2 linked regions of the Schizosaccharomyces pombe genome follow. Changing the gene in region 1 together with any one later gene gives a genetic interaction. Each region holds a gene or a part of one and is shown in the gene's direction. Other genes may lie near its edges. The genes, in order: bch1 and apm1.

The links.
Region 2: of bch1 (region 1) and apm1, changing one enhances a phenotype caused by changing the other (phenotypic enhancement), as found in Schizosaccharomyces pombe (one study listed by BioGRID).

What each region holds. Positions count from the first base shown.
Region 1 is NC_003423.3:3,779,786-3,796,356, forward strand, and holds bch1 (ChAPs family protein), read left to right. Parts: upstream 1-6,002; 5' UTR 6,003-6,062; coding exon 6,063-6,094; exon of another isoform or gene 6,095-6,143; coding exon 6,144-6,270; exon of another isoform or gene 6,271-6,293; intron 6,294-6,415; coding exon 6,416-8,035; exon of another isoform or gene 8,036-8,090; coding exon 8,091-8,261; 3' UTR 8,262-8,528; downstream 8,529-16,571. Other genes in the region: histone chaperone Hip3, read right to left, coding at 1-2,885; F0-ATPase epsilon subunit Atp15, read right to left, coding at 4,402-4,576, 4,649-4,677; SPOM_SPBC31F10.17C (uncharacterized protein), read right to left, coding at 8,532-8,864, 8,940-8,990; vps1301 (lipid transfer protein), read right to left, coding at 9,601-16,571.
Region 2 is NC_003423.3:1,903,426-1,919,201, forward strand, and holds apm1 (AP-1 adaptor complex mu subunit Apm1), read left to right. Parts: upstream 1-6,715; 5' UTR 6,716-6,754; coding exon 6,755-6,816; exon of another isoform or gene 6,817-6,891; coding exon 6,892-6,997; exon of another isoform or gene 6,998-7,067; coding exon 7,068-7,715; intron 7,716-7,793; coding exon 7,794-8,258; 3' UTR 8,259-8,390; downstream 8,391-15,776. Other genes in the region: SAGA complex, phosphatidylinositol pseudokinase subunit Tra1, read right to left, coding at 1-1,993; ubiquitin-conjugating enzyme Ubc7, read left to right, coding at 2,374-2,562, 2,959-3,016, 3,066-3,319; ribosome biogenesis protein Yar1, read right to left, coding at 3,807-4,247; ribosome biogenesis protein Nop8, read left to right, coding at 4,707-6,143; fmo1 (flavin dependent monooxygenase), read right to left, coding at 8,711-10,054; CCAAT-binding factor complex repressor Php4, read right to left, coding at 12,425-13,312; SPOM_SPBC16E9.02C (CUE domain protein ), read right to left, coding at 14,736-15,776. UniProt on the Schizosaccharomyces pombe protein: Component of the adaptor complexes which link clathrin to receptors in coated vesicles. Clathrin-associated protein complexes are believed to interact with the cytoplasmic tails of membrane proteins, leading to their selection and concentration.

The sequences.
Region 1 (16,571 bases):
AAATTAACAGAATCTGACTGATGAGATTGTGGAACATAGTACTCGCTGCCAATAATTAGGTTAAAGCGACAACAAACGCATTGTAAAATTTCATTTTCGTTTTCCCAAGCATCTAATCGTTGGCATTCAGTTTGAGAGAGTTCTAAAAATGATTGATTAGAGCTCGAACAATAACCTCTAAAGGAATATTGGCTATGTATTGCGGTAAGGATTTGAGGTAATAACTTTTGAGCATCAGCTTTAATAAAATCGTAATGAAGTAAATGCGCAAACAGAGTGTAAAATATGCACCAACCACTCATCAAAGAATCTTTTACCGTTTGAGCATAAGAATCAAACTCAGGGTTTGAAGGTTTTGGAATCCTTTGATCCGAAATGTCCTCATCTATTCCAACATAAATAGCAAAAGTGCGCAAGTATATAAGGATAATTCTAATGCAATCAATGACAGTCATCTCGTTACAGGGAGACAATATATCAGGTTGCTCATGTAATTTTTGCCAAATAATCCTGAATAAATTTGAAGAAAAATTAAGCATGCCGAGTAGTTCAGCCTGACGGCGACCGGCATCTTGAATACTGAATGACGAAGAACAAAGCCTAATTAAAATAATTTTTAGCGATTGAAAGGCACACAACAACGAATTATAAGGTCTATGTGCTGAGCTATAAGCCTGATACAGTAAATACCATAAGTGTATTTGAAATTCAGTAGAAGTCTTTTCCAAAAATTGAGAAATAAATTTTGCTTGAGGATCTTCTGCAAATTTGTTTTCAGGAGAAAGGACGGGTTCCAAATTTTTTATAACGGCATTAAAGTCCAAGTTTTTGGTATTCATAAATAAAGTATTAAAAAACTCAACGGTTTGTAATTTGGAAAGTTCAAAATCGACAACCTGAACGCTCAAATCTGCCATGCATTGACTGTTTAAAAGTTCAAGAGAATCACTGTTTTCTTGCAAAAGACAACGCAACTGTTTGAAATTTTCAACTATAGCCTCACTAGAACAACCAGTTAACCGTAACAATAAGTTTCGAGCCCATGAGTTTCTAATTATCAAATGTCTTTGGCTAGAACTTTTACAAGACGGCTGCAATTCGACTACTTGTTCAGTAAGAGATTTCCAACGTAAGCAACGTAATTTTTTATATTCCAATGACTCAGTTGGTATTTCAGAAACATTATCGTCTTTTTGATCATTGGAGCTAAACTTGAGCGCTAAAAAGTAATCGTCTAAAAACAGTTCAAAAAGCGATTGTGAAATATTAAAAACTTCAGGGGTTTGTAAGCTTGCCTTCACCAGTTCGTGAAGAGTGCTTTCAATTCTCTCACAAATTGTAGTAAATTTCTTTTTAAATATTTTCCCCCAACATTGCTGCAAATAGAATGGAGGCTCTAATTTTCGAGGCCTTAACATACTCTCAACAAAGAATGTAGCAAGCTCAGCGGGAACCATATTGAGACTATTTACTTCACTTAATAATTGAAGAAGATAACCATCCGGGACCTGCATATGCTCAAGTCTATTAGCACTATGCATAGCTAAATCAATAAGAATCATTTTGGAGAAAGCTCCGTTAGCTGCTGAGTCGGTCGAAACATCTAGGTCCGGAATACTGCCTTCGCTAGGAAAATTAACTAGTAATTGATGATAGTCTTCAAATATGGAACTATATTCTCGAAACATAGATTCACCTGAAAACGGGGAAGTTGCGTCAGGAAATCTTTTTTGGATTTGCTCATTAATATCCGAAGTTATGCTTGCAATCAAAGAAAACAAGTTCGACTCTGAAGGCGTTCGTAAGTCTCTACCACGAGATCTTTTACTAATGCGTACATCGGAATCATCTATCGGCCTCTTAAGGAGTTGGGGTTTAGGCAAATTATCCGAAGGAGGTGGAACAATGTCCTTGGCATAAACAGGTTCAGACAATTTTGCAGCTGTATTAATAGTATTAGTATCGGGCCCTGCATCTGAAATTTCAGACCATAATTCTGAATCAGTGGATTCCAAATCATGCGATTCTGCGGTGCTCAAATTCAGGGAATGAACATGAATAATTAATGTCGAAGGAAAACCACGAGTCGGGGTTTTTTTTTCATTTATCTGTAATGCATATAGAACAAGATCTAAAAAACCATGAAGAGTGTCATGAGATAGTTGAAGTTTTTTTATTTTCGGGCATAAGTTTATGGACCTTCGATGAAATGAAGGAGTGGGTAATTGAGGAAAAAAAGAAGGCAAAGTATAAAGAGAACTAATCGACAAATCCAATTGCGGTAAGGGTTCTGCTATACCGCCTAACTTTTTTAACAAATTGTATAGGTTTTGTAGAGAGATAAGCTTCCCAGGATTTAAATCATCAATATTCGTAAATACTCTCTCCGCGTCAAAGGGTTCGTAGCCGGTATAAAATGATGACTCTAAAGCAAATCTTTGAATTCTTGGCATTTCCAATTTTTCAGCTAACTCGGCAACAAAAGACCAAAGTTCTATGTCATTGTAATCGCAAGCCAATGCAATAGCAAAATCGAGCAGGGCGTCCCGATACACAGGGATGGGATCGGTTGAAGGATCTAAGGATAATAAAGATTGTAGCTTTGACAGCAAAAACAAACCATGATTTTTTCTAGTGAGGTAATGTAGTAGCAATAAAGCATTATTTTTTTTATAATTAGAATTAACGGTAAAAGGGAGTTCGCGAAGAATTCGAACATTCAATAGCTCATCGTAATACTTTGTAGCAGCATTGTCATCTCCCTGCTTCTGGGCTGAAAGTGCATTTTGATATATTTGAACAGCTTCTTCAATTCGGATTTCTAAAGTGCGTTTTTCCTTATCCAGATCTTCACTGGCCGCATTTAGAGGAGTAAACGTTGCCATAACCTTAATATGAGACTTCCAAATTGATCACTGTATAAAACTGTAACCAGAAATTGAAAAAAGTATGTAGATAAGATGTTAAAGTTGTAGATAAAGGAAGCGATGTATTACAAAAAGCGTCAAACAACTGTGGTTTTCAATACTATACTCCGCAAAAGCATTGAGCAATAAGCCTGCATTGGAAGATCAAGCTATTGAGCGTCCTAAATTCAGATTTCAGCTCTCTACACACCTTCAAAAAGCAAAGATAATTAAAATAAGTGCTAATAACAAAAAAAAAATTAAAAACTCCCAACGCAAACAAAACCTCAGGAAATCAATCAGTGCGTTTACAGATGTTTATATTAAGTCATAAAATCGGTATGAATTCACTAATTCCCAAGGCAATTTAAGGCTGGTTCTTTAATGTTTTGATGCACTGAACAAACTTTTGAACTTGGGTGACGACTACTTTTTTAAGTAGGAACAGATTATGAATTGCAATCAAAAGCAAACTTTTATAGTTTTAAGGGATGTTTATCATAAGGATATTGTTTTGTAACTCTTCTCTTACTACAGACTTTATCAAAGTAGTTTAGTAATTTCTTTGATGTCGTTAAGAAAGCGTAAGTGGTGACTTTTGTCTTTGCTGTGTAACGTATTTAGTTCGTGGTTTTCAAAAAGAAGAGTGTGTTGATTTTCTGCATCGTTAATACCGCACGTTGCCTTCGACTACAAACGCCAACATAGACAGGTGCAGACAGGTCTCAAACACGTCTTTAGTGGCATATCTAGAGACCCAAGTAGTCACTAAATAGCGAAGTTAAACGATACACTATATCCTTGCAAGAAGAGAAAGAGTACAAGGCATCAAGTGGAGTTTGTTTTGAATGTAATGCGATTTCGTATGTATACCCTGTTTCTTTCATTCGGGCTCTAAAATTGTATTCATACAATTAAAAATTTTTTAATGGGTGAGTTTGCATGATTGTTTGAAAACAGTAGAACAAGCAATTTTGTTCGACGTTGAAGCCATTTTTTAGAAACTAGATAACGATACAAACAATTAAGAACATAGTATTGTAGTAAGTTTACTGTGTAATGCGACTATAAATGATCTCGGTAGTAGCAAAAACAAAAACTACGTTAATGAATGATATTAGTGACAAAACTCACTTACTTCTAAATTAGCTACATCTCATTATAGTAAAATCAACAATTTTTGGTTTTGAGACAAAGGCCGATTATAGATTTGATCGAAAATACAGAGCAACCACAATGATTTGAAGTGCCATTCTCAACAGTTTTAAGAAAACAGAGCAAACTACCTTGTTCTATTAAACTTCATCATTAAAAAAAGTAATAAAAATTTATTGAAAGGATCAGTTAGTAATTCAACGTTAAGTCGAATATAGTAATCATTATAAGAGATTGTAAACCATCAGTGATATCTGTTGAAATGAGTGAAACATCAAATGAAGCTGAAATATTACCAATGGGTAATGAAGGACAAAAAATTCGTTTGTAGCCTTTATTTTCATTCCTTATCAGCAGACTTTGCCGAATTGTAAGACTCCGTTTTTTCCTGAGCGCCATTTTTCCATCGAGTATAAAGGAACTCTGCATCACCATGAGTTTTAACCTCGTTTTTAATTTCCGGTTTTAAGGCTTGACGAACAGTTTGGGAACAAATAGAAGCATATTTGCTATAACTACAAATATTCATTCATTAGTAAAACTATCAGGGTATATTTAATGTTCACATTCAAGAAATGAATCCATACCTAAAGTTTTTCTTCCAAGCAAAAGCCATTTTCTCAATGAATTGCTAAATCGTACAGAGATGGGGGAACGGTAACTTAAAATCCATGACACTCTCTTGAAACCCCGTTCGGTAAGGGTCGGACACATTTATTGAGTTCAATATGTACATTCGTTAATCTAACATTGGTAACGTGCTTTTCTTAGTAAAATATAGCGCAGTTTGATTAAAATGACTTTGGTGATGCTAACGATTCATCGCTATACAGATTGCCTTTTTATTAATCAACACTATTCAGTAAATAAATATTCAAAAGGCCGTATTAATTTGAATTGACAAATGAATATATACCTCTCATCAGTCAAAAGGCTGGTTATTTTCGCTACTAACCATAATTTATTAGAAGGACAAAGCGGTACCAAAGCCTTAATTGTTTACTAGCTGGGCAAGTGAAAGTAATTCAATACATTCGCAAGAAAACTGAACTTAAGCACTGTTACGTTTCTCACTTTGTTTAATCTTAACACTTATCGTAGTTAATTTAAAAATGTCAGTTAAAACAAGCAATGTATACTAGCACTCTCCATTGATTGTATTTAGTCAAATTAGCTTTCTTGATGAGCGTTAACATGAATGGCTTAAGCATAAATTTCGATTCTTTCTTTGTAGAATTTTGCACTATTAAATAACGTATTCGCACATGTTATTTGGTTTTAGGATATTTTAAACAAACAATGGTTCATTGCAAGAGACATCTATCAAAATGTATGGCTAGATGAAACAAAAAATTTCTTGTCAAGGAGATATATAATGCAAAAATCAATAACTCCTGATTCTACTTTTAGACGTTTCATTAAAGGTTCGTTAAAGATTTCGAAATTCGGAAAAAAATTCACAGCAACTTACATTCGCAATTGCTTGGAAGTATTGTATTAATTTATCATATGCTTACCAGCGTATTGTGCGAGTTTTTTAAAGCTAACATTGTGCGTATGACTGGTCTAACTTTTAGTGGAAACTAACATAAAGCTGTTCTTTTTTTTAATACTAATTGCGTTGGATTCCGCACCAACAAGAAATTTTTATTTCAATTGTATTAATCAATGAGTTGTAATCTTAAGAAAAAATTATCGCTACACTATTCGTTGGGTACTACTTTTGACTTCCCTAAATCATCAATTGTCAGGATGAATGAAGATACAAATCAAAATGTATAATATTCAATTATTTTTTGGTTTTCAAATACACTAAATGCATAATTTAATGATATTTATTTATTCTTTATATATAAGGAAATTGTGGACGATTGCCTAATTGTCGCTTGCTACACTTCGTTACAGCAAGTCAGGCTGCGGCTACACCATAACCTCTTAACTGGAACCAGCCACGAGGCCGAATTGAACGCTGCTTTGCATATTAATTCCAATTTATGATATATGAGTGATTCATTCTTTAAGGATATACCAGAGTAAGTTCCTTAAATATAATTGAGCTGAAGTTCTAAACAATGACGATAGGTTTTTAGAAACTCGTGTAAACGAGTCATTAGATGCGCGTTCTAAATCCATCGCACAATTTAAAGAACTCGGGCCTCCTGATCAGGTCAATACTATAAAAGTTAATGCAAAAAATCCATCAAAAGAGGTATGTCACTTTTTAAAGCAGCGAAAGCTGTAGTGTTAATGATGTTGGAGATTAGTGGGGAAAGGATCAAGACAAGTCTCTCTTTACCAAACTTTTCACTCCTATTGAAACGTTAACGTTTTACGTATTATTAACCTCGTCAAAGGTTGGAACTTATCACTTTGTATCTGGAGTTGATGCTTCTTCCTCAGCTTCACTAGCGGCATATTTAAATACGCTTTCCTATTCTCTTGATAAAAGTCAACAATGGTTTGGGAAGGGAAACGCTTGGCGTGTTAGTCACGGAGTTTACTGTTGCTACAATGTCTTCTCTCAAGTTGATGTTCGTGTGGAAGCTAAAATTCCTGGAGGTGTTGACACATATGCTATTGATGAGAATGGGCAAAAGCATATTGTCGATGCTCGTATGTGGACAGAAGCATATATGTCTGAAGTCCTTCGTTCGTTACTTTATTCTGATGATACAAATTCTCGCTTTGCAGGACATCGTCGTTTTAACCCCATTCCAAATCCTGATGCAGAATTAAGATTTTTTGAGGCTGCCGAACAGCTTTTTACGTTAGGTTATACTCTAGGGTCTTCTTCTGAAGTTCGGGTACCTACGCATGTAAATAATCATTTGGTTCGTGGAATTTTCGCTTACTTGAAGCAAACCTGCCGCTACAGTGCTGCTCTAAATCTTTTTGAAAAGCTCCGGGTGTCAATTCCAGAGGTATCGGTTTTGCTTGCTGAACTATACTTACTAATGGACCATGAAGTGCATGCTGTTCGTATCTTGCATGATTCATTGCTAAAACAAAGAATGTCCGCTAGTTTGCTTATTGTTCAAGTTAAGTTTCTGATTTCAAAAGAGCGCTATGACCTTGCACTTATCTGTGCTAAGCGCGCCGTTCATGCTTCTCCATCAGAATTTGCAACTTGGGCATGTTTGGCTGATGTATACTTGCATTTGGAGGATTTTAAATCAGCGTTGTTAGCTCTAAACTCCTGTCCCATGTATACTTACTATGAAAGAGATGCTTATCCTTTGCCTCCTAGTGCTCGTGCTCATTTACCATTTCCTGTCAATTTTCCTAAAGAAGAACTGGAAGTTGAAAATAATGCGCAGAACGGTTATACAGTTTCTACCGAAATTACCGATCCTTACTTAGCTCGCCTACCATCTCCCAGTCTTCGTGGTACATTTGCGAAGGCATATGAAATGCTCACCCTTATATGTGCCAAAATAGGTTGGGATGAACTATTGCGGGTTCGTTCAGCTGTCTTTGTGATGGAAGAAGAATATAGATCCTTAAATGATATTACAGAAGGAAACGCTTCTCCCGATCAAAACGAAGTTGCAGAAGAAAGCGTTGCAGAAGAAGTTGTTGGTTTAGACAAACCAGAAACATCTGTTGGTTCTCTTCCAAAAAATGCCACTGTTCAGAGTAAACGTCTCTGTGAGCGCTGGCTAGATAATCTTTTTATGGTTTTATATGAGGATTTACGTGTATTTACGATTTGGCGCGCTGAATATACTCACTTTAAATCTCAAGGTCTAGCTTACAGAAAAGCTCCTGCAGAATGGGAAATACTAGGTGAGGTTGCTTTTCGGTTGCATCATCGTGTTGAGGCTGTTGAAGCATTCTGCGCTTGCTTGGAAAGTATGTTTTCTTTTAAGGCCTGGAAAACTCTTTTGATAATTTATTCAGAAGACAATAATATTGAGCTCGTTTTGACCGCTATCGCTAAATTAACACTTTATAACTACCGATGGTATCAAGAGGTGAGTTTTTTTCTTTTTTAGATTCCATAACTATAAAACGCTAACATAATCTTAGTATTCCCCCTTTCTTCTGGAGCAAATGAAAAATCGCATTATGCAAGATGGCGCTTTGAAGATGAAGAGTATCCTTGCTTCTACTAGACTTGATCCGTATATCCTTAATCTTATACATAAGCTGTATTTTGAATGGGCTATCGCCTTTCAAATTCCTGGCCATGAATTGTAAGTTTAGACTCATTAAAGCTTTCGTCTAGTGAGTTTTCAAGCGACATTCTTTGCTTTCTTTATTCCACGTTTCCTTCGTTCTGGTTTTCGTTCTTTAGTCAAAACATGTGATGTTGTTTCCCGTTTTCGTGTTTTCATCGAGATTAAATGAATTTATATATATTATCTAACACGCATATAAATATTCTGGTCATGAATAAAATTTTTTTACCATTTTTAAATCATATATGATATTCCTATCAAGAGCTCTTAAGTAATTGTACAGACTTTGTTAATTTTTTGGAAAGCAGAGTGAGCGCATCCTTGCTTGTTCAGCCCACTTTTGTATGCTTATAATCCCCATTTCTCGAGATTGTTCTCTAATAGATTTATTAGATGTCGAATCAATCAATGACCAAGGTGTCAGGTTTATATTAGAACACAATTTAGGCCTCTTCTTTTTTATGCTACTTGTATGTGTCCGACTCGGTGAATAATAGTGATTTTGGGCTTTTCTAGGGAAGACGTAAGCAAATCGGAAAGTTGACGATGATTCTTGCTCCAGCTCTTTCGCCACTTGTACTTGTAAATCTTTTGTTAATGTCTTTTTCCTTGCCTTGGGTATCTACATAGCAATTAGTACAACAAAGAATTTCCTACAACCCATCAACGTATTTGAAAATACATCCCGGCTACATACCGTAGTGCCCTTCTTCGCTTTTTGGAATACAAAGTCACCATCCTGGATCATCTTTCCCAATGGTGTAGTTGTCATTGTCTAACATTTGATTAGAAATTCAATTCTTTTCTATAGTGTTCACGTTTGTTTATTTTTCTTAACCAGCATTTATGGTTGCCATGTCAACCTGGCATCTCAAAACAAAATTTCGTAAACAATAAGTTAACAATTGTAAAAATTATATAGGACAAAATAATAAAGATAAATTTTCTTCTTAACAGTTGTTAAATTTTTTTTGATGCTGGTTCATTATTGACTAATCAAGAATGATAGTAACGTCTACGTATGGCGAGATACATACATAAATTATAGGATATCTTGACAACTTTTTGAAATGTATTTTTCATACAGGGAATGGCTAAATAAATATTTTTAAAAACGAGTGGATAATATGACATGAGCATTGTAAGCGGTAGAAACAAAAGTAGCCTTTAAACTTGAAACAGTATTTCAAAGCACATGGAAGTGTTTTCAAATTATTTCAATATGATAACTTCAAATCAAAGGATTTTGATGTAGCACAGCGTGAAGTTGAACAAAGGCAAGCCATCGTTATCTGCTTACAAAACATTAATATATACAAATTCCTTCATAAGAGTTCAATAACAAATAAACAAAAAAATTAAAGAGCAACCTCTAGCTCGTAATTTACTTTGTGTTTATAAGCGGCAAGCTCGTCTCGAATTTTTCGGTAGAAAAATGTCCGAACGGAGTTTTCGGGGACAGAAAATTCAAAGTTTACACCCTTCAAAAGTTGGAGAAAGATATGCTCTTTGCTCTGTAACTTAACAGTTTTAACTTTGGAGAGATGAATTTCTTTTTTGCAATTAAGCTGTTGAGGCTGAACAAACAATATCCTATTATTCGTTAAGATCACAAGCACTTTATTTTCAATAATGATATGAGCCTTATAAAAATCTTTAAAATATCTTCCATTATCGAGATGTTTTAGCCAGTACTGTCCCAAAGCCTCCCGTAGTTGAAAAGGATATACGACACCATCATCACTCATCAGTCTTGACAATCTTAGCTTTTCTATGTGTCGTTCATCAAACACAGTTGTTGTATTTCTTGCGCCTTCAGAGATACTTGACGCAAAATCGAATAACCCTACCAATGGTTTTGTCGTGAAACCCACCAAACCCTTACCTAAGCCTTTAACAAGGCCAGGAAGTCCATTTCTCCTTGCTCCAATAATAGGTTGTAAGGCTAATCCTCTGACACCACTTCGAACTCCTGTGTAAAGTGACGCAGCTCCAGCTGTCACTCCATAAAGTATATGAACAGGCCGATTTCTGATACGAGCAGCACGTCTTCGGCTTTGGAATTTGGGATCCAATGTGATCACACTTAAGCTTCTTGAAATAGTGCCCGTTACTTTTGAAATACTGTCAGTGATTCCGAATACTGCCTTTTTAATAAAGCTTGCAGTACCCTTGGCAAATCCTATACCTAATTCATAAGAACCCTCGTTTAAGATAAAACCATGAAAGGGTTCATAAAATATATCAGCAAAACCGGACGTTATTGTGGTAAATAAGCCAACAGGATTTCCCAAAAAGTCTGCTGATCCAACAATCTTATGCACTTGGGATAAAAGTTCTTGAGAATAATGGTTTTTGACAAGTTCAAAAAGACGGCGGAGAGAAACGTGTGCATTATCCATGAGAAGAGCATTTAAACGGACTGGTGCATCATTTATGTTTCCTATTGCCATTGATAAAACATTCACGAAAAAGACAAATGGATTATGTGAAGAGACAACGGTGCCATCAGTATTATTGATCCTCTCCGTACGAACGAAAGACAGATGCATTTCAGTGGGTTGCAAATTAAGCACTTCAAAATACACTTTCAAATCATTTCCTAGATTTTCTGGTACAAGTTCCAGCGAATCATCAAACATCTTGCCGGTATTTCTTTTGCTTCGGGGCACAGAGTCCTTGATGTATTCGAGTGCAGCAAAAGCAAAGTCCTCATCAATTTCAATAGTTAATTCCTGAAGTAATATAGTAGCATATTTTACGTAAGTCACACCGTATGTATCATTCTTGACAACTGCAACCATTGAGTGAAACGTTGGTAAAAGTGAATTGTCATTCATTGTGTCTTCCTGTGATAGAATACTTGGATAGAGGATAATTGGATAAATTCCTCCATAAAGCTGGTTGTCAATTTGTATCCATCGAACATCTAATTTAAAAGTGCGTATAAGATGGGAATCTGTAAAGAACAAGTTGATCCCATGAAAGGTCAAATACGCTAATTCTTGCGTATTCCGTTCTACCAAAGATATCCCAATTCCCTCCAGCAAAAATTTGACGGACAAGTCAATCCCGGAGTCAAATTGCTCCAAATTAAAATCGCGTTCTTCAGTTGAGACTTTGCTGTATATCTTCGGCTTCCTCACAGCCTTTGAAGGATCATAGTCTTTTAGAATAAGAATTTTCGAAAGCCCATTAGCGACTATATCTCGTGAAATAAATTTTGTATTATTGGAAGCATCGGTGAATTTAAAGGGAGAAAGGGGGCCAATTTCTGCCAAAGTAGTTAAGCATTTTTGATCACCATAGCATAAAGCAATTTCCTTATTAGCACAACAGGGATAATCCCAAGAATACTTTACCTCTGAATGAGGCGGTATATCATGGTACTTCAACAAAGCAGTATTATTCTTTCCTTCTGAGGCATCAATAGGATTTACCTGCCAAAATTTTAACAAAACACCAGATTCATTTTTTATATAGTATGGCCAGTCCCCAGTCTCTTCAAATATACTGATAAAGATTGTGGCATTTTTTATGACAATTTCCAAGCGTAAAAGTTTTTCCCCTTCCGAGGTCATTAAACGTACATGAGTTGACCCTATCTCCTCAATATAAAATGATGATGACCAAAGGTAGCAATCTGAGGAGGATAGCTTTAACATCGGGTGTGAATGCTTTCTTAAATATGTCAAAAACTCTTCACCCTCAGGAGCGATTTCCGCAATAAAATCGTTGTAAGGCTCCGCAATCACCAAACTCCATCTTGTTTTATTTCTCACTATGAATCTAGAAGTTATTGTAACGATATTAGTTTTCGAGTAACCATCGGGTCCCGTTTCAACAAAAATACCTAATCTGTAAACTTTATTATGGTCTTCCTTGGAAGGTAATTCTACTTCAAACACACTGCCAATCGCATCAAAGCTAACGGGCTCACTCCAATTAGAATTATCTGCTCGTAACCGACATCTTCTGCTGCCATAGTTATGCGAATATGAAAACATACATGGAACAACTTTGCCGTCTTCCCCAGACGAAAGAGAAGCTGAAGAAAAAGAAATACGGTTGTAATCATTTTTTGGACCAACAAACAGAAAGGACCCTGACTTGTTAATTATTATGTACGGGCTAAAAATTTCGATGTGATAAATTCCAGGATACTTTTCAGTATAACTCAACCCTAATCTTGTTTTTCTACCTCCCTGAAGAGTGATTGTCATGTACTCATCTCTTTCTTGAGCAGAGTCGTTAGTGATAATAGTAGCCAAGGAGCTGGGAAGGTAATGCGACTCTGATGACTCGGCTTGTAGGAGCAAAACGTGGGAAATATTTATCGAGTGAACATATGCGCACTCTCCAATACCAACATTCGACATCCATACTCCCTCTTGGTCCTTATCGATGATTCGAATGTTAAGATCAATTGGCAATAAGTTTTTCACTTCTAGGAGCGCAGAAATCGTAATATGCATAAAAGGATAATGGTTGGATATAGTTTGACTTTTAAGTTCTGCATTAGCGGCAAAACGACACGCAGGAGTCGAGAAGGTGTTATCTGAATGTTGGCATGTCACAAGGCTCTGTTTGTTGTCAACTAGATCTTTCCAAGATATAGCTTCCGAAGTCCAATTAAATTTAAATTCTGAAACCGGTCTAATGTGAATTGAATAATAATAAGCAGTTTCAATTGGCAAAGAGCAACTCTCTTCAGGGCTCATGTGGTATATCTGTGACCTTTGAATGCCATCTGAGTCGCAAAAAACTACATCTATTTCCATTTGGGTCTCATTTATCAATAAAAGTGGGGAACGTAGAGTGATATGTTTAATATAATCTTCTCCCAAATTGACATCAACTACCATATAATGCTTTAGCTCGTCTTGATCATAGGAAATTAAGGGATATATATGCTCTCCTACACGATTAACTCGTACATGTCGTAAAGACTCCCATTTACTGTTTTCGAAATGGAACCCTATATAAGATCTATCCTGATCTTGTTTAACCACATCCTGCATTTGTCTCCATTCTTCAAATTTCCAGTCGGTTTCTTCGTTATTTTCGAGATGTCTAACGCAAGAATCTGCAGCATTTTCAAAATCTGCCCAAACACTAACAGCATGTCCTGTGTAGTTGTGAATACGATAAGGTGCGTCACATTTGAATTCAATAGGAAATGGAGTACTGATAACTTTGGTGAAACCAAAATGTAGAGTCTCAATTAACTGAGGAGTAATAACCAGATCTAATTTCTCTCTCGAAAAAACATGTACCGCAGTCTTCGATGTGTTTGGATTCCTAGAAATATGTACACCTACTTTCCAGGGCTCTAAAAAGGGCTCCCAATGAGAGTTAGAGAAGTTATAAAAATTCATAAAAAGCTCCAAATGTGCATTTGAATTTAACTCGGAAGACCAATCGTTAAGATCTACCTGAAAAGGCTTAATGTTAATATTTAAAAGTGGAAGATCATGTAGTTGACTAATAACCAATAGTCGAATACCGTCAACTGTTAATAAAAATTCTTCCTTGCATATACGTATTCCAAAAACAGAAGAAGGCTGACCGGTGTCTACTGACAATTGAAGAAAATCGGGATTCGTCGCTAGTTGATCATCCTTCGTTCTCTTCAGCAATTCAACATCGGTTGTGGGGACATCGTATAGGGCATAATAAAAATTATATATCTTACGTAAAATAGTTTGGAGGAACAGAAAGTCGTTCACTGTAGTCCTTAAGACAAACGAATCAAAATCAAGAGTGATGTTGGTGATTATCTGAATTTTGTTGACGGTATGCTGCGAATATGTGTAACGAAATCCAAAAGGGTCTGCTAACTGATTAGATATATTGGCCGTCTCGCTGAGAGGACAAGCATTAATCTTCATGTTGTTAGCAGTAACCGCAAAGATCGATTGTTGGGTAATTAATAGCTCTCCAAAAAACATTGGTAGTGAGTAAAGATTGGCATCAGATACGTTTCTAAAAAAGAGCAAAGTCATATCAACAAATGTAATTCTGTAGTACCAATAGCTTTCTTCTCCACAAGCATTTTGGTTTGGATTTCCCATAATAAAGTATTCAACCTCTGTTAAATAATCCAAGTGCGAATAGTAAGCACGATGCCAATGAACAAATATAGACCAAATAGAATACAAATAATTCAAATTGACAAATATCTTCGGTGAATCAATATCTAGTACGAGGTTGTATCTTGGATTTTGAGAATCATATTCAAGGCAACCATTGACAAGTCTGTTATGATTTTCACTGTATTCTAATACATCCAAAAAAACGACATTATCTTGAGGATTGCAATCTTTTAATTGTATAGAATCGATTGAAAACTCAGCATAACAACGACCGCTTGAATAAAAATTATAATCAAGTGAGAATCCAAAGAAGCTTAATATGGAATGCAATTGTGTTAAATCCCCACCGTGAATCCAGAAATCATCGGTGTGCACATTGAGACGTATTTCAGGTAAATTAAACGTAGTGAGAATATCTAAAGTTTCTACTACGGTTTTTTTTGGATGTTTTAATTTGGCAGCAGTACCGGACCTATCAAAAGCCTTATCCAGTTCTCGTCTTAGGTTTTCAGAAGTATAAAATGAAGAATCAACTCTAGCAAAGGTAGTGGCTACATCGATTAAATCCCAGAAAATAACATGATGTGACTGGCACATGTTTAATATGACAGGATCCAAATCACCAGTTGCTTTGAATACATAAGCACCAGTAGTGTAATTAGCGTCATATGTAAGGTCCAAATGAACATTATTTTCCTCCATTAGTACATCGTGATGCGAGGAACTAGGGACGGCAGTATGAAATTCAACCTTAGTTATTTCACAACTGAATATTGATTTCTTCGAGTTCTTTTCCACAATCGGACATTTACTAAACGCATAAAAGGATTGGGGTTTCACTATCAATTGCATCCGACAATTTCTTTCTTCATCTAATACATCATCAAAGTATACCTTTGGATGCTTAATTCGAAGCTCAAATTTAGGATAAGTTAGGCTAACTTTGTTTCCGTAAAGCTTATAGTAGATCGCATATCTAATTGAGCTAAATAATTCCTGAAATCGCTTCAACTTTAATAAAAAATCGTATATTGCATTGAAATATGATTTTTGAAAATAAAAAGTTAATGAGCCAAAAGATATATCATAAACACAGTCGCATGTAGGTTTCGATATGTCTTTTGGAATGTCATAACTCTCATATTTAAATATAAATAAATCATTATCGTCAATCTTCACAATGGTCTTTGGCGGATTATTACTTTTCATATGGTTTTTAACTTCAAGGTCATAAAATCGTGCTTGAAGGAAAAACTTCTCTCTGAATTCCATATGCATGTTAGCACTATACAGACAAACTGTTGAAAAATGTTGATCACAGTCATAAAGAAAAATATCTACGTTGTCAAACCGAACGTTGGCGTCTTCTGGAATAATTCCTTCAACTGGTGAAATTTTTCGAGTCAACTCTGGATCTTCACCAATCATATACTCATCATTTAAAGAGGTAAAAGTGGCTCTGATAAAATCGTAGACAAATGAAAATCCAGTAGGCTCAACGTTGAGAATGAGATCAGAAAGGACTACAGCAATGGTAGTTCGAACACCTTCGTAAACAGAATCTAGTTCAGGAGAGTCATAATCAATGCTTGTATAGCTGATGAAAACGGTATCATCAAAGTTATTTTTAGGTGAAGGAGAAGAACGAACTAAAACATTGTCACAAAGAGAAGAAGGATATGTAAATTCTTTAATAACCAAGTCGTTAAGCTTGGAAGTAACAAGGTAATCAAATTTTCGCACTACTAGGTCGATGTAAAACTCTGTAAATGCTCTTACCACAGGTATGAGATAGTTTTCAGATCTTCGGTACAACGAACATATAGCATAATCCACCTTAAAATAGAAAGCAAAAATTTGCTGGGCCATAAATTGCGCAGCGGTGTTTTCATTAGCATGACTTCCAAGAGAAGTATGAGTTATTTGAAAATTATCAGGAGCATCAAAGAAAGGAGGAGGCTTAACCGCGTCAAGGAATTGTTGGTATGTAAATGGTATTTCAGCAACAGGAAGCGTAGGCAATATATTGCTCATCATATTAATGAATACCTTATATTGCACATCAGAAAACATAATTTCGGCATGCTTCATATGACTTGAAACTTTGAACTTCGTTAAGTTAGTAGCTTTTTGAAGGATTGATATTTCAAAGTTAATGTCAAGAGAGCATTCTTTCAAAATATGGTAATCACACCCTTTGGGTAAGCAACGCCAACCAGTTTCATAATCAGGCC
Region 2 (15,776 bases), 1.9 Mb from region 1:
AAAAAGACAGCACGATGCCCGTGCAGTTGACAGAAGTAACTTCATTAGACATCCAAAATTGGAAAATATGCAATAAAGCAAGATTATCTACTAGACACTCAAATATATTCGGAAACTCGGATTCCAAAATTTCGACGAAAACAGATGGGTCCAAGTGTAAAAATAAAGTTGCTAACATTTCTAAGAGCTCCTTCTCTTCTAAGAGTTTAGAAGGGTTTGTGGTCAACGAAGAATCAAGTTGAGAGTATGCAAGATTTTTCGAGGACTTGAATACACCGGTTTTTTCATCTGTCTGGTAATAACTGAATCCCTTTAAACTTTCCACAAGTAATCTTCGAAACAGTAAAACTTCATTAGTTGAACTAAGATGTAACTTTTCAGACCATTCCTGAGCTGTAAAAATGGAACCGTTGGCAAGAGGAATATTTCGTTGCTTTAGTCCAAACAAAACAGGCTTAATACCTAATAAGGTGTTTTTAAAAAGAAATATGCAATCTTTTAGCTTATCCAAACCTGAAGGTTGGGCAGCTCCAGTAGGGTTCTCAAACATAGGAAGATCATGTTTATTTTCTTCTATTTTAATTTGCTTTAAGTCAGCATTTTCCTGTAAAGAATCTCTCAGCTTCATAAACTCGAAATTCAGAGAAGTCAATTTTCTTAAGAGACATAAAAGTATAGCAAATAGAAGTGATCGGCTAGTGGAAAAATCTTCTAGTGCAACAATTCTTTCAACCAAGTTTAAAATAAGCTTTGTAGCCATTGCCTGAATAGCTGAAGTATAAAAGTCGTCCATCAAAATACTGAAATAAAGAAGTATGACTTTGTAAATTTGTTGTGGACTTAATTCCATACGCACATAATGAAGCATATCTGCCAGCATGCTAAAAGCCATGGGTCGTAATGAATGCTGAGAAGTGATTCCAGAACCAACTAGAATTTTGGTATCAAGTAGTTGATCTACATACGGTAGAAACCCTCTCAAATAATCCGTCGATAAGACGTGCCTTGTAGCTACCAAAAGTTCTCTTCGAGTCTGATATAATTCGGAAGGACAGTCCATGAACAATTGCAAGGTACATATTGGGATCGAGCTTTCAAACTGTTTAAGAGCAGCACCAAAACTTCTCAATAAATAGGCGAGAAAAGAGAATGATTTAATTTGCGCAGAAATAAGGTCATTGTAAAGATGATTTCGACGCAAAGAAGGGACTACACCAATAAAAACCTCTTTTTGAGATTCTGCAAGTCGACGAGCTTCGGCTTGAGGTGGAGGACGAAGTGAGATAAATTGAAGTACAAGCGGAGCAAGTAAAGGAAGCATTTTCGGAATAAGATCTTTGTATGTTTGAAATAGGAGAAAGACGATAATGGGAAATTCAGCAGTGACCTTGAAACTCGAAGAAGCTTTTGGGATCATTTTTGGACCTGCATGTTCCATTCCAATTTCAGCAGGAGATGCAGAAGATGCAGCAGACATGGGATGAGAGGATGGAGTATTCGGAGCTGATCTAGGTGGGAAAGCTTCTGAAACAACTGTGGTCATGGATTTGTAGTTTTCAACGACAATGGATAAAAATTCCTGAACATGTCCCTTAGCAAGGCTACTGTGGTCCTTAAAAAGAAGGACAACAAGCTTCAATGCCAACACTGCCATCTCTTCATTATCATTAACGACTATACGAAGAAGCACGGCAAAAGTCCGATTAACGAATGCTTCAAAACCTTTATAGGATCCAGATTTCTTGAGCAATTCAAGCAATGCAATGCGTAAACGATGTGTAGCTGCTAACGATGAAAATACAGGACGTTCCTTTTCAAGCAAAGACAACGTGTCCTCCAAAAGAGGAATGAAAGTTTCAAAATTCGTCTTTTCAGTTACCAACACATCATCCAGTGCATCTCGAATTTCAATTGCTGTGTTTGCCTTTTGCTTCGAGTCTAATCCAACATCACAAAGCCGATTATGCCAATGTTCGCATTGTGATACATCCATCAGATGCTTGGATCTCTGCGCAAGCTCTTTTTTAAATTCCAATTGCACTCGGATACGTTTTCCTAAGTATTTAACAATTACTATTGGAATGTTGTGGGATAGAGCAAGCTGCATTTCTTTCCTCTAAATCACTTTATGAATTTTACATGTTTTCGCTATTTTAATTAACGGCCTTATTATTTTGTGCGGTAGAAGTTGCTAAAATGATGAACGAGATAAAAATAGCGAGTGATACCACAAAAGTTCGTTTAGCCTCAGCTGCATAATTTGTCGTAAACAAACCATTCATTCATTAATCTGTTCATTACCATTTTTAGGCTACCTTTTAGTCAGTGATCTTTAATATATCTTACCGATTAGTAAGTTAATTGATTTCCAAAATGAGTAAAGCTATGGCGTTGCGACGGTTAATGAAGGAGTATAAGGAGTTAACGGAGAATGGGCCTGATGGTATTACTGCAGGTCCATCGAATGAGGATGATTTCTTTACTTGGGATTGCCTAATTCAAGGCCCTGATGGAACTCCATTTGAAGGTGGGTTATACCCTGCTACCTTGAAATTTCCTTCCGTAAGTCCTTTACTATAAACCTGATGGAGACTGAACATGTGATTTAAGTTGTGGATAAGTATGATGTTTCGCATGTTTTATGTATCAACTACTTATTAAAAAATACGCGCTCTTTTTCATAAATTAACATTTGTTCAGCGTAAATAAAGAAAGTAACTCAATAATCCATTCGTTTAGAATGATCATTTAAGAGAAGTGCTTTTATTCATTAGTAATTGATGAATCCTTCGATTTATTGATGAGTAGGAAGAAATTTTATTTAAAAGATCTATCTAAGTTTTTTTTTGGGGGTTTGGTTTCTTTCTTTGAATCGCATGGCAGTACATCCGGGGTGTTCAAGCGCACGTTGATACGTGCTTAGTTTTATTTTTATTGGATTCTAACTTTTTTATGTAGGATTATCCTCTTGGCCCCCCTACTTTAAAGTTTGAGTGTGAATTTTTCCATCCAAATGGTATGCCAGATACTATTAATCCAAATTTCGAGACTAACCTTCATTTCAGTTTACAAAGATGGGACGGTTTGCATTTCCATCCTACATGCACCTGGTGACGATCCAAATATGTATGAGTCGTCTTCAGAACGTTGGTCTCCTGTTCAATCTGTTGAAAAAATACTGTTATCGGTAATGTCGATGTTGGCGGAACCAAACGATGAAAGTGGTGCTAACATCGATGCGTGCAAGATGTGGAGAGAAGATCGAGAAGAATATTGTCGTGTAGTTCGACGATTGGCTCGTAAAACCTTGGGATTATAACCATGAATTGTATATTTGATTAGATTGCCATGAATAACGAACCTGATAAAATCTAGAAATAAAGTTTTGTTCCATTTTTGAACGCAACCGGTAGGCTTTTCTCTTTCTATTCCAACGTATAACGCTACATAGGTTTAATTACAAGGTTTAAACAAAAATGAAAGCACTTTTCCAATTCAATTTCTATCTGTAAATGATGGAAGATAAACATTTTGTCTATTGAGATAATCCATCTTTTAATAAACATCACTTGAACTTTCTACACAGATACATGGCAACGTACATCGCTGAAAACGAATTATATTGAGAAAACATCTAGAAATTACACAGTAAAAAACTTAACAAAATATAAGAATAACCCCAAATTATGCTCCAAAAGAAAAAAAAAATGCATCAGGTGCATAAAAATATTAGCTTCCCACAACCTACAAAAGAAAGAGGTAAATTTTTTTACAAAATAAAAATCAGAAATTATCAAATAAAACGATCATATTCCATCTTCCAATTTTTCTTCATCACCAGTGTTTTCTTCACTACCTTTAGCAATCTCAAAATCCAGAAAAAGGTCCATTACTTTTTGCTGATTTCGAATATCAGCTTCATATATAGGTGACTTCTCATAAATATTCTTAATATGAGGATCACCTCCCGCTTCCAGTAGTAATTTGCAAATTTCAGCATGTCCATTCAGTGCTGCCCAATGCATTGCGGTGTTTCCACTCTCATTCTGAGCATTTATTACTTCTTTATTCAAGTACGGGATTATTTTTTGAACAACAGCGATGTGTCCATTAGCACTAGCCATATGAAGTCCAGAGTTACCATTTTCATCACGACGACTTAATTCTTGTGGACATTTCTCTATAATCTCATCTAGTAACTCCTCATCCGCAGCTCTACAAGCGTAAATTAAATCATCAACATCCATATTAAACTATCCAATCCAGTAAAGAAGGATGTTTTACCGGTTTATTTGGAAAGAGAATGATGTGAAAACTGTTCGTTTGTTAGTGTAAGGTAGCCGCGGCTTCTCCAACTTGGCTTCGGCAAGGCCGTGGTTACTTACTACACCACAAATTCCATTGCAATTTTATATAATTATTCAACGAGAACCTGCCTTCTACAGCAGGTTAATTTTTGATTTATAAGAAGGAGAAAAAGAAGTTACAGGAGTGTTTATTTCCGAAAGTCATAGAGATTTAAACCAGTATATATGCTTTCCTTGTAAAAAATTTCATTGCTCACACAGCTCTCGATTCCTCATCTAAATAGCTATCTGGTAGCGATTGGTAGACTATTTTTTCGGGTTTATTTCCCATTATATTTCAGACACTCTTTTTGACCTGCGAAACTTTTTGTCCTCATTTTGTATCAATTGACTTCAATAATGGAGTTAGAAAAACGGATTTATGTTGGTGGCCTTTCATCCTCTATTGAATCTTCAGATTTGGAATCCAGATTTTCTCGTTTTGGAAGTGTTTCAAATCTTGAAATTATAAACAAATCTACTCCAGTAGGAACTATACAACGATTTGCATACTTGAATTTTCGAACAGATGAAGATAAATGGCAGAAATGCAAGTCTTACTTATCAAATGCGACGTTTAAAGGAAGTAAACTTCGTATAGAGGAAGCTCGCCCTTATTATTTAGTAAAATTGCAGCAGGAAAAAAAAATTGCTGATCTTCAAAGTACTAATAATGATGAGAAAAATGAAGATCACTCCAGCAAAGTTGATCTGGAAGACCCAGTCTTTCATGGAGAAATAATTGTTCCCGGAAAACATAGTAAAAATATGCAGGTGGTCACGGATTCTGATGTTCGGAAGGATCCTCCTAGAAAAGGTTGGAAAAAAGGCCCCTATGGAAGGGCCATTGTCGTGCTTCGAATGTATAATAAAAATACTAAGAAAACGAGGTTTTTTTATCCGCTGGGTAAAAACTGCTTACAAAAACTATGGGGCCGAGTGGAAACGAATATGGACAATACTACAGCTTTTTATGATTCTGATCATGATGAGTATGTATCATATGGGGGTAAGAGAGCTTCTCGTGACAAAATACGTATGCAAGCAAAATTGGGTATCAAAGCTTCTACTCAGAAGGATGATAACGATTTTGAACTTCTTAATAACACAACTGGGGAGATTGAAGTCACAAAAGAATTAAACGAAGAGCAATTGGATGCTTTGCGAAAAAAAGATAAGGATACGGCTGCATCTGTGTTAGCTGAACTGTTTGGTTCTGAAAATACAGAAGAAATTGATACCGTATCTAAAACTTCAGGTGTTTTGGAACTGGACAATGATTCGACTAATAATTTCCAAAAAGAAGGTTTGGATGAACAAGATAATTTACAAAAGGAAGAGTCCGTACACATAGATGTTCCTGCTGAATTTGAAGCATTTGATGAGCGTACTGCTGTTGTTAACGTTGACAATTTAAAAGAAATGTTTTCTTCCAATGCGCAGGATACGTCTAAGTTTTCTCTTTTTGGCAATGAAAATGGAGTTGGTGAGGAAAGTGAAATGGAAAGTGAGATTGATGACCGTAATTACGAAACTATGGAAGAAGAGGCAGATGGGGAAACTCCGCTAGCTATAGTTAAAGCCTCATCGGGTACCAAGGGTTGGCCAAAAATGTTTACTCTACCCAATCCTTCTTCCCTATTCCAACCAGGTAATGAAGATTATACGAGCAGAGAAGCTCTTGAATCCTGGTGGTCGGAAAATCGTCTATTCTTAACTCGTGATTACAAACGAAAAAGAAAAGATGCCGTAAAAAGACAGCGAAGGGCTCATGAAAAGCGTATTCGACTTGTTTAAAGACGCGTATAGGTTATGTATTTATTGGGAATTTATTTGGGTATTTTAAGGTTACGAGGTATATATTGATTTTTTACACACTTTTGGAATCTTTACGTTGTTATTTCTCTATCCTTTTTATTTTAGAAAAAAATCTGTGTCTTTTTAAAAAGCCACGATGTTCACTTTGGTTTTATCATTGGTGAAAGTTAACAACTTTTTTCGTTGCACTTTCTTGGGATTTGTGGCTTTTAATATTTACAATGTTTGAGATCAAATTTTATTAAAATATTTGTTATTCTTATTGTTATAAGCCAAAGTTGTCAAATAAAACATACCGAAATTTTCTTACATTGTCAGAAAAATTATTTTCCTTTTCGGCATTTACAAAACCATATAATGTAAATTAGTTATAATTATCTGAATAGATTATCTTATAAAAGAAGACTGAATGTGTGCATAGAGTAGTAATTACTCAATATAAGAAGAATTTCGTACTATATGTAAGAAACAGAAATAGTGAATTACGCTGTATTACACTAGCGGTGCTTAGGCACGGTGATGAGGCAGCCAACAGTCAATGCTAGTTATCCAGAGCGAAACTAGCTGCCTTATTCGCGGCTTCTGTAAAAATGGCTTCTGCTATATTCGTTCTGAATTTAAAGGGAAAGGTAATCATTTCCCGTGATTACCGGTAGGCAATTTTGAAATCTGAATGAAAATCAGATTGTCGCAATTCGTCGACAGGTTACTAACAGAAAACAATTAGAGCTGATATCCCCATGTCAGTAGTTGAAAAGTTTTTACCTTTAAAATCAGAAGTTGAAGAAGAACAAGGATTCTCCACCCCTTGTCTCACTCACGAAGGCATTAACGTATGTAAAAGTTAGATATTATGAAAGCCAACAATTCTTATTTTTTTATGGTCGTACTAACACTTTTCAGTACATTTACATTCACCATAATGATGTCTACCTCCTTGCTTTATCCAAAATGAATTCCGATGCAATGGAGATGCTAGTATTTTTGCGTAAAATGGCGGACGTTTTTATAGATTACTTTAAAGAATTGCAGGAAGAGTCGATTCGAGATAACTTTGTTCTTGTTTATGAATTGTTAGACGAGATCATGGATTTCGGTTTTCCACAAACAACTGAAACAAAAATCTTGCAAGAATACATCACTCAAACCTCAAATACGGTAAAAAAGCATGCTCCACCCCCCATTGCTATGACAAATGCTATCTCCTGGCGTTCTGAAGGAATTCACTATCGTAAGAATGAAGTATTTTTGGACGTTATTGAATCAGTTAATTTAATTGCTGCTGCCGATGGTACGGTCATTCAAAGTGAAATCTTAGGAAAAGTTCGTCTCAAATGCTACTTATCAGGAATGCCTGAACTTCGTCTTGGGCTCAATGACAAGGTCCTTTTCGAAGCGGCTGGTCGTACCATTAAAGGAAACACTGTGGAAATGGAAGATGTGAAATTTCACCAATGTGTTCGTCTTGCTCGATTTGAAAACGATCGTACAATTTCGTTCATTCCTCCTGATGGCGAATTTGATTTAATGTCCTATCGCATGAGTTCAAATGTAAGTTATTAGTTTGTGCCTGTTCTTTTTATTCCCTCTCTCCTTTATCAACGTTTTCTAATATTAATTTCTCGTTAGGTACGGCCATTAATTTGGGTTGAATGTGAATCCATCGTGCATTCAGGTTCGAGAATTGAGTTTATGGTAAAAGCTAAGGCTCAATTCAAAAAGCGTTGTATTGCAAATAATGTCCAAATCATCATTCCCGTTCCGGAAGATGCTGACAGTCCTCGGTTTCAAACTAGCAATGGTCATGTGCAATATGCACCTGAACAAGCTGCCATGGTTTGGAACATTAAGAAATTTGCAGGTGGTAAAGAATTTTTCATGCGTGCTGAAATGGGTTTACCAAGTGTTAAAAATGAAGATATTCAAGTTCAGAAAAAACGTCCTGTTCAACTAAAATTTGCTATTCCCTATTTCACTACCTCAGGGATCCAAGTTCGTTATTTAAAAATCACCGAACCAAAACTTAATTATCATGCTATGCCTTGGGTTCGATATGTTACACAAAATGGTACTGAATATTCCATCCGTCAGTAAATGTTTCTAATGATGGTTCTCCGTTCCGTTCTTTTTTCTACCTTTAGATACCTTTCCCTTCATCTATATATTTGTTTTCTTAGTGTACTGATCCCATTTATTACGAAATGAAATCTTGTTTGCAGACGCGCTAATCCTTTTTCTTACTCAGCTGACATAAAAGGAGCATTTGCTTGAAACATAAATGTCTAAGTCTATTTATTGTATAAAGGATAAGTTCAATGTTTTTATTAAAACAGAAATAAAGATTTTCTAACATACAATTCCATTTACTCAGTAGTGAATCTCCGTGTATTAAAAATACATAAAAGACAGATTGTTCCAAACGGTTTTCTAAACATAATAAATTAAAAACCAAAAGCGAGAGAATGAGAGGGAGACCGGATAGTAAGAAAAAGATTGAAGGGAAAAGTTTAAAGGTCTAAGGGTGTAATGAGTTTTCAAGTACGTATTTACTTTGGAGGTTCAATTCCGAAAAACTTAGCACGGATGGACCACATGTTTTCACGGATGCTTCGTTCCTTCTCGCCCCAATACGGTGACGGAAACTCTTCTTCAAGAACAGGTGTAGCCTGTTTACACCAGTCGTGTAGCTTGTTAATGTAGGTAGCGTCTTTTGGATAATCCAAAGAGTGATACATATTATTTGCTCCACTCAGCGAAAACATTAATTCGTCTTGCCATTTCAGCTGCTCTTCTTTGCTGGGTAATTTGAGGCGACCAGACCAAACTCGCGCGAGGAACGCTGCCTGTGCTTGACTAGTAGGGAAAGGAACAACGTGTAGAGCTAAACCAACAAAAGCCAGAGTTGGATCGGGGATATAAAATATATGTTGATAGACATTGTGCACATGACTACCATCATCAATCAACTTGGTTTCAGGGGATTTCAACTTAGCCAGGGAAGGAAATGGTACGGAATACAAGTATCCGGTACAATAAATAACTCTGTCAATATTAGATAACACTTTTCCACCTTTCAAGTATATTTCCCTAGTGGTAGGATCGAACTTAGTAATTTCAGGTACTTGTTGCAACGATTCATTCTGTATGTCCCCTCCACCAAGAAGACTTTGATATATAGGGTGCTTAGCGACTGGCGTCAAGTGTCGGACGAGATCGTTTGCAGAAGAAGCACCACCAACTACAAGTACTGATTCACCCACGAATAATTCTGGTTCACGGAATAGCGATGAGTGTAGAACTGACCCCGGCACGGCTTTAGCGTATTCATCGAGACCTTTAATATTGGGGATATAGGGTACTTCATAATGACCATTACAAATTGAGACTGCATCAAAGATATCTTTACTAATCGGGCTTCCGGCTTTCGTTCCTTTGTATGTCACGACCCAGGAGCCATCCTTCTTTTCTATATCTAGGACATCGGTGGCTAATTTTATAAAGGGCAGCAGAGGTTGTGCATATATCCGTTGATATTCCTGAATGGTATGTCGATGGGGGAATTGAAGAGTTTGGGGTTTAAAGCTTTGATCACAATAACCCATCAACTCAATTGGGGTATTAGTTTGCAGATCACGATACAAAGGTGAAGGATACACAGGTAAAGCAGCTGGTCCGACAATGGGTTCGGTTGTTAAAATGGGATTTGTGCTAGGAACCGGTAACTTATTTGATAAAGTACTTGTATAGTTCCAAACACCACCCGGAGACCCCCTTCGCTCAAAAAGCGTGACCTGGTCAAACGCCTTTTCTGCTAACAGCGCTTTAGCCGTAACTAATCCAGAGGGACCAGCACCAATGATTGCAATTTTTCGAATTGTTGGAAGACACATAAGAACAAAAGAGAAAATGATAATTTTTTGATTAGTACCAAGTAAATTAAGATATTTTTTTTTCTGTACAAAGAATAACAGAATGAAACAATATCCAATTGTGAAGGAGTGTAATTGAATGAAAACTACACTTTATGTGCGTTTTATATCTTTGCACGTTCCGATTGTCCTCAATCTGCCAGGGGGCCTTGAAATCGCTGATAAAGCTATAGCTTATTGGCTAAAAAATAGAAGTGCTGGTTAGCGATACACATATTGAAGCCAGACACTATCTGTATATATAGTTTGTTATGGATTCAAAAACGCATCCGCTTTTCGCAACTTTAAACAATCTTTTCATCATACTCAATATTAAGCACGACTAAATTACAACATCCGATCAACATTTTAGTAATCCAAGTTCTGTTATAAGCGAGCCATATGACAAAAATGGGACATTTGAATTTCTCATTTAGAGCAAATTAAAATAATAAATGTAGTTTACACCTCTTGATGGATTTAATAATTAAGATCAAGCTGATATCCGAATGTAAATTTGACCTTGGCAACGGATTATCAAAGAGAAAATTTTTTTAGCGTCCAATGATAACAGCGTTTAAGAATTAGTTACTTATAAAGACCGAAGCGATCTTCCAGATAATGAATAGCAATACATTAGATGTGAACCTATTAATGTTGTTTAAAAGATCTAGTAAGGGCATTTTGAAAGGAAATCATGCTGATGAAAAAAAAATATATCTTTATCTTCCTAACACTTCTTGCAATGGCCATAAGAGAAAGTACGTCTCTGCTGCTCATACTTTTCAAGCATGTTGAATGCTTCAAAGTAAATGATTATAGTAATTTCCCAAATAAATATAGTTAGGTGACTTACTGACTCCGCCTAACGCGTAAGTTGGATTGTTGAAACAATTAAGCTCTTGCTGTTACAACGGTATAGCTTAATACCCAAATAATTACTTAAATGCTTTAAATCATCATAATACCAACAAACGTTCGTTTTTATAATCAGAGACAAGAAGATTTTAAGATTTGCAGGGAGGTATACTCATATATAAATTCATTGTATTTTAGAGTACTATCAATTATGTATCTCAAAGAGTATATAGTAATACATGAAATAAAAGTTTTTAAAGTTGAATTATAATTTGATGTTCTATAATTGGGGTGAATGCACCCTAATTGACAATAGAGAATTCTACGAAAAAAATCATGCATCCAGGATAGTCATATAGGATTTTGGTTAAAATTGGCAGCACAATATAGTTTTTGATGCAATTACAGTTAACATGCATAATACTTGTTTTGAAAAAAAGTTATGAATAAAAGCTCAATTGTAAGCACATCACAAAGAACGATTTTTAATCGTAATTGACGATATGTAATTTTGGATTTCATATAAAATTGTAACTACTTATTAAATGATCATTAGGGGAAATAGCGCACACTGTTTTATATCCTCTTCAAATTTACAAAATGAAATTAATCAATTTTAGCAATTTACCTATTTTATATGATTGAATTGAATTGAAAAAACCATGAGTTGATTATGACGCTGAAAGAAAGACATATAAGATCCTTAGGACACTACAACTCTTTCTACTTGAATGCGAAAGTGGATTGGTCTCACCAAAAGATTACCGTACACAAGAACTTCGGTGCTCTAGCAAGTTTTCTTTCAACCAGGGCAATTGCAAAACGAAGAAATTCTAGTGGTACACCACACTGTTAAAAAAAATTGACTAGCATATTAACATTGTTAGATTATTCACTTTTTAAATTTGGAAATACGAAGCTTCAAACATAAGCCATAATAAACACAGTGAAGGCTTTAGCATTAAATTTATTAAAAACACTGCTTAGCAGTTTGTAAAGTCAAATGTTTGCTATGAACATTTTGAGTAAAAATATAACAAAGATTTATTCTTTTCTATACAAATCAGAAAATATATAAAAACAAAACATATAGTGAAATTAACATATATAACAGAAAAGGAAGCAATGTAATGAACAAAGCGATCTAGACTAGAATATGTCAAGGAAACATACTTTACGACGTACAGCCAGTCTAGTGAGTAAAAAAAAAACACACTCTTAAAACAAATACCAAGAACACGAAAAATAAAATGTTGTAATATTTCTGAATGTATTGGTTCAAATACCAGTAGTGAACGTTAGTATTAACAGAAAGAAATCCAAAAAGAACGAAAATGCACAACGAATAAAATAGTATGAAGCAAGATAATTAAGTCCGAAAATAAAAATTCCGTACCATGGAAAAAGGTAATGGAGATCACTTACAAACAGAAAAGTCGCTGCTGAGATGCAATAACAAGAGGAGATGAGAGATGACAAAAACTTTTGGGAAACTTAGGAAGAAGAGGATATGGAAGTGACGGGACGAACATCGTTAAAATTTGGTTCCATGGTAGGAAGTTTGAAGGCGATTGAAGGACCTGCCTTTAACATCGGAGCAGACTTCGAGGACTTGTGTAAGTCAATAAGTAGTTGAGCATAAACCTTGGTTTCCTCGGATTCACGGACACGTTTAACAGATTTAGGGCTTCCAGAGTACAAACATCCTTCTACACTATTGCAAACACCACGTTTACGTATCTTCTCCATTACTGCTGGGTTTTCAGGTGTAAAATTAATTTCGTTTTGGGGAGACATAGATACACGAATTCTTCCATTTTCGGATGGAACGGACTTTGCATCTTTACTGTCACTATCCACACGAATTCTCTTGGCCGAATCACCCAAGAAGGCATGAGGATCTAGCTCAATGGGAATCTCTGTATAAACGGCATTCTTAGCACAGGGCGGCTCGACCGGATAATTGTACTGATTTACATAACGGTTTTCATTCTCAGTAGTCGCAGAATCTGGCTTGACAACTTCAGAGTTTACTTCGACTTCCTTGGGGCTATCCAAAGTAGAATTCTTCAACTGAGCCTGCAGCATCTCCAACTGCTCAAGCAGCTCGTTGTTCTCCTTCTGTAACTTTCCGATCGTATCCTGATATTGTTTTTCACGAACACGGAATTTGGCTTCCTCGACCGACAAAGCTGAAGTCGGCCCAGGTCTTGGTTTAATAGGTGCCTTTCTTCTTCCCAGAGCATCTAACGCAGGTTTCCTTCCTGGTTTGGGACGAGGAGGAACAACCCATTGTTTAGAGACGCGAATCATCGGCTTTTGAGGTGCTGGAGAAGCAGAAGATGATTTTTCCACTTCCGATGGACTTTTAGACGATTCCATGAGCAAAAAAAAAGTTGGGGGGATAGGAGATATCAAGTACAGAACTACACTTTTAGCAAAATATATAAATCTTTATTTTCCAATACTCCAATGCCTCTACTGACCAAGCTTAAAAATCTCACTTTTTCAAACGTTTGTCGTTGGTGGTTTGTTTTAATCTGATAAAGAGATACGATTAAATTATATCTGATCTAAGTGCCGTGTGGTTCGATGATTGTACTGTTAACCCGGTATGCAACACCTCGTTATATCTTTAAAGACTCAATTTTCGGGAAAAAACGGATTAGTGAACAGGTCGGCTTAGAGGCGCTGTTGACATACATTCTCAATACCCATCATTTCAGTTACAGAACCAATTAAAAAACGCGGGTATGGTGGACATCATCTGATTAAAACCGATCGACCTAATAAACTCTGGGCTCTGGCTATGTAATACTACAATCATTCGGCACACCAACTATCATAGTAATGCTTATCCATGTTACTTTTTTGGAGTTAAATTAATGTTCTGACTCACTGCTTTTCTCATGTCATACCGTCCTTTGAAGATTATTTAACATTTGTTTATATTTTTGATATAATGAGATGAAACGAAAGTGCACTAACACATGTGACTGTTTTTTGACTCCTAGTATATAAGAAATGTGAGTGAGTTAAAACAAAGCTTCATCTCACAAAATAATGAATTACTGATGTCAAAAAGTCTGCTCTCTTCTAACGCGGTTATAATATAGAACCGTATTAATGGTTGCAGCTTTTTCCTCTTCATGGAATCGGTATAGATTATGTCGGGGAGACCGACAGCATAGCTTAAAACCATCGTGAAGTCGTTGCTTCGTGCCATGGCTCGTGATGACCGAATGCTACGTACAGTTTTTATATTTTATATCATTTTTTAGTTTGATTTATGTTGTATTCAGTTATTGTTGTAGTTAAAATACGTTGTTTTAATAATTCACGTTGTTTCGTGCCTTCTCAATGAATATCATTTTTTTGTAAGCATCATATGTCTCATGTACAGTAGTGGTAAAAAGAATAAAGGTTGCTATGCACGCAAGGATGGAGTGAATGTATGGATACTTAGCTACTCAGTTTATCCAAATGGTTTCGATAAAACTTCAAGCACAATCTTAAATTAAAGTTACTTTGCAAATTCATCAACGGGATTGCGATTGTCGTGAAAAATTTAATTGATTATTAATAATTCAATTATAAAAATATGAAACAAAAGAGCTCGAAAAAACATTACTTATAAGAAAAATCGAAACAGCGCTAAAACATTTACTGTAAAGCTGAGGAACACCGAAAATAGCAAAATTTAAATCTTCAAGCTACTCGTACCCTGAATACTCAAGGCATATATAGTACCATTAGCTGATTACAACTCTTGAACCTATCATGATGTGCCTTGTTGTTCTTTCCCTTAAGTCTCTTTTCCCGAATTTTGTAGATCAGCAGCCTCCTCGATCTTTTCCTTAACATCTTTGCTGTCAACTTTTTCAGCCTTTTCATTTGCCTCTTTATTATCATCCTTCGCAGGCTTCTCGTTAGTGTCCTTACTGTCAGTCTGTTCGACTTTGTCCGCAGTTTCTTTGCTATCGGTCTTTTCCTCCTTGTCATCGACCTCTATACTATCAGTCTCCTTAGCCTTGACATCGGCCTCTTTACTTTCAGTTTCTTCGACCTTGTCCTCAGTTTCTTTGCTATCGGTCTTTTCATCCTTGTCATTGGCCTCTATACTATCAGTCTCCTTGGCTTTGACATCGGTCTCCGTTTTACCAGTGTCTTCATTTGTTATCTTTGTATCTTTCTCCTCAACATCCTTATGAAGACTAGCTTTGTTATTTTCGTCCTTACTCTCCTTTTCTTCCCCAACGTCAGATTTCTCTTCTAAATTGGCTTCCGAATCAGCATTCTTGGCTTCAGTTTTCTCAGAAATTTCAGCTGTATCAGACACATCGGATGCTCCTTTACCAACAGCAGGCTCATCAGTTTCGGTTTTTTCGGCTTCAACAGAGGTAGAGTCCTTTGGCTCAGATGTTAGTACCTTGGATTTAGCATTGGATGATCCCATTTGTTCTTCTGATACGGTCTCAAGCGTGCGAGCGGCTTGCTTTCGTGACTCGTCGGGTTTTTTTTCCACTACAACTTCCTTAGTGCTTGCAGTAGGCTTACTTGTGTCTTTTTTCATCTCTAACTCTTCATTGTAAGCTGATTCAAGATCACTATCATCGAGAGCAAAAGCAGAATTAGCGACTTCAATCGCACCATTGCTATCCAAAATGAAGGATTGTCCCTCCACAAAGGCGGCTGAAGAACTTGATTCTACGGAGCGACGGTTGGAGTTCAATGAAGATCGCCTCATCATTGGAGATGAAGATGATTCTAAGCGAAGTCTCTCAAAATCTTTCTCATTCAGCATGTGTGGATCAGATTCATATGGGGGAAGCGTAATGGCTGTTCC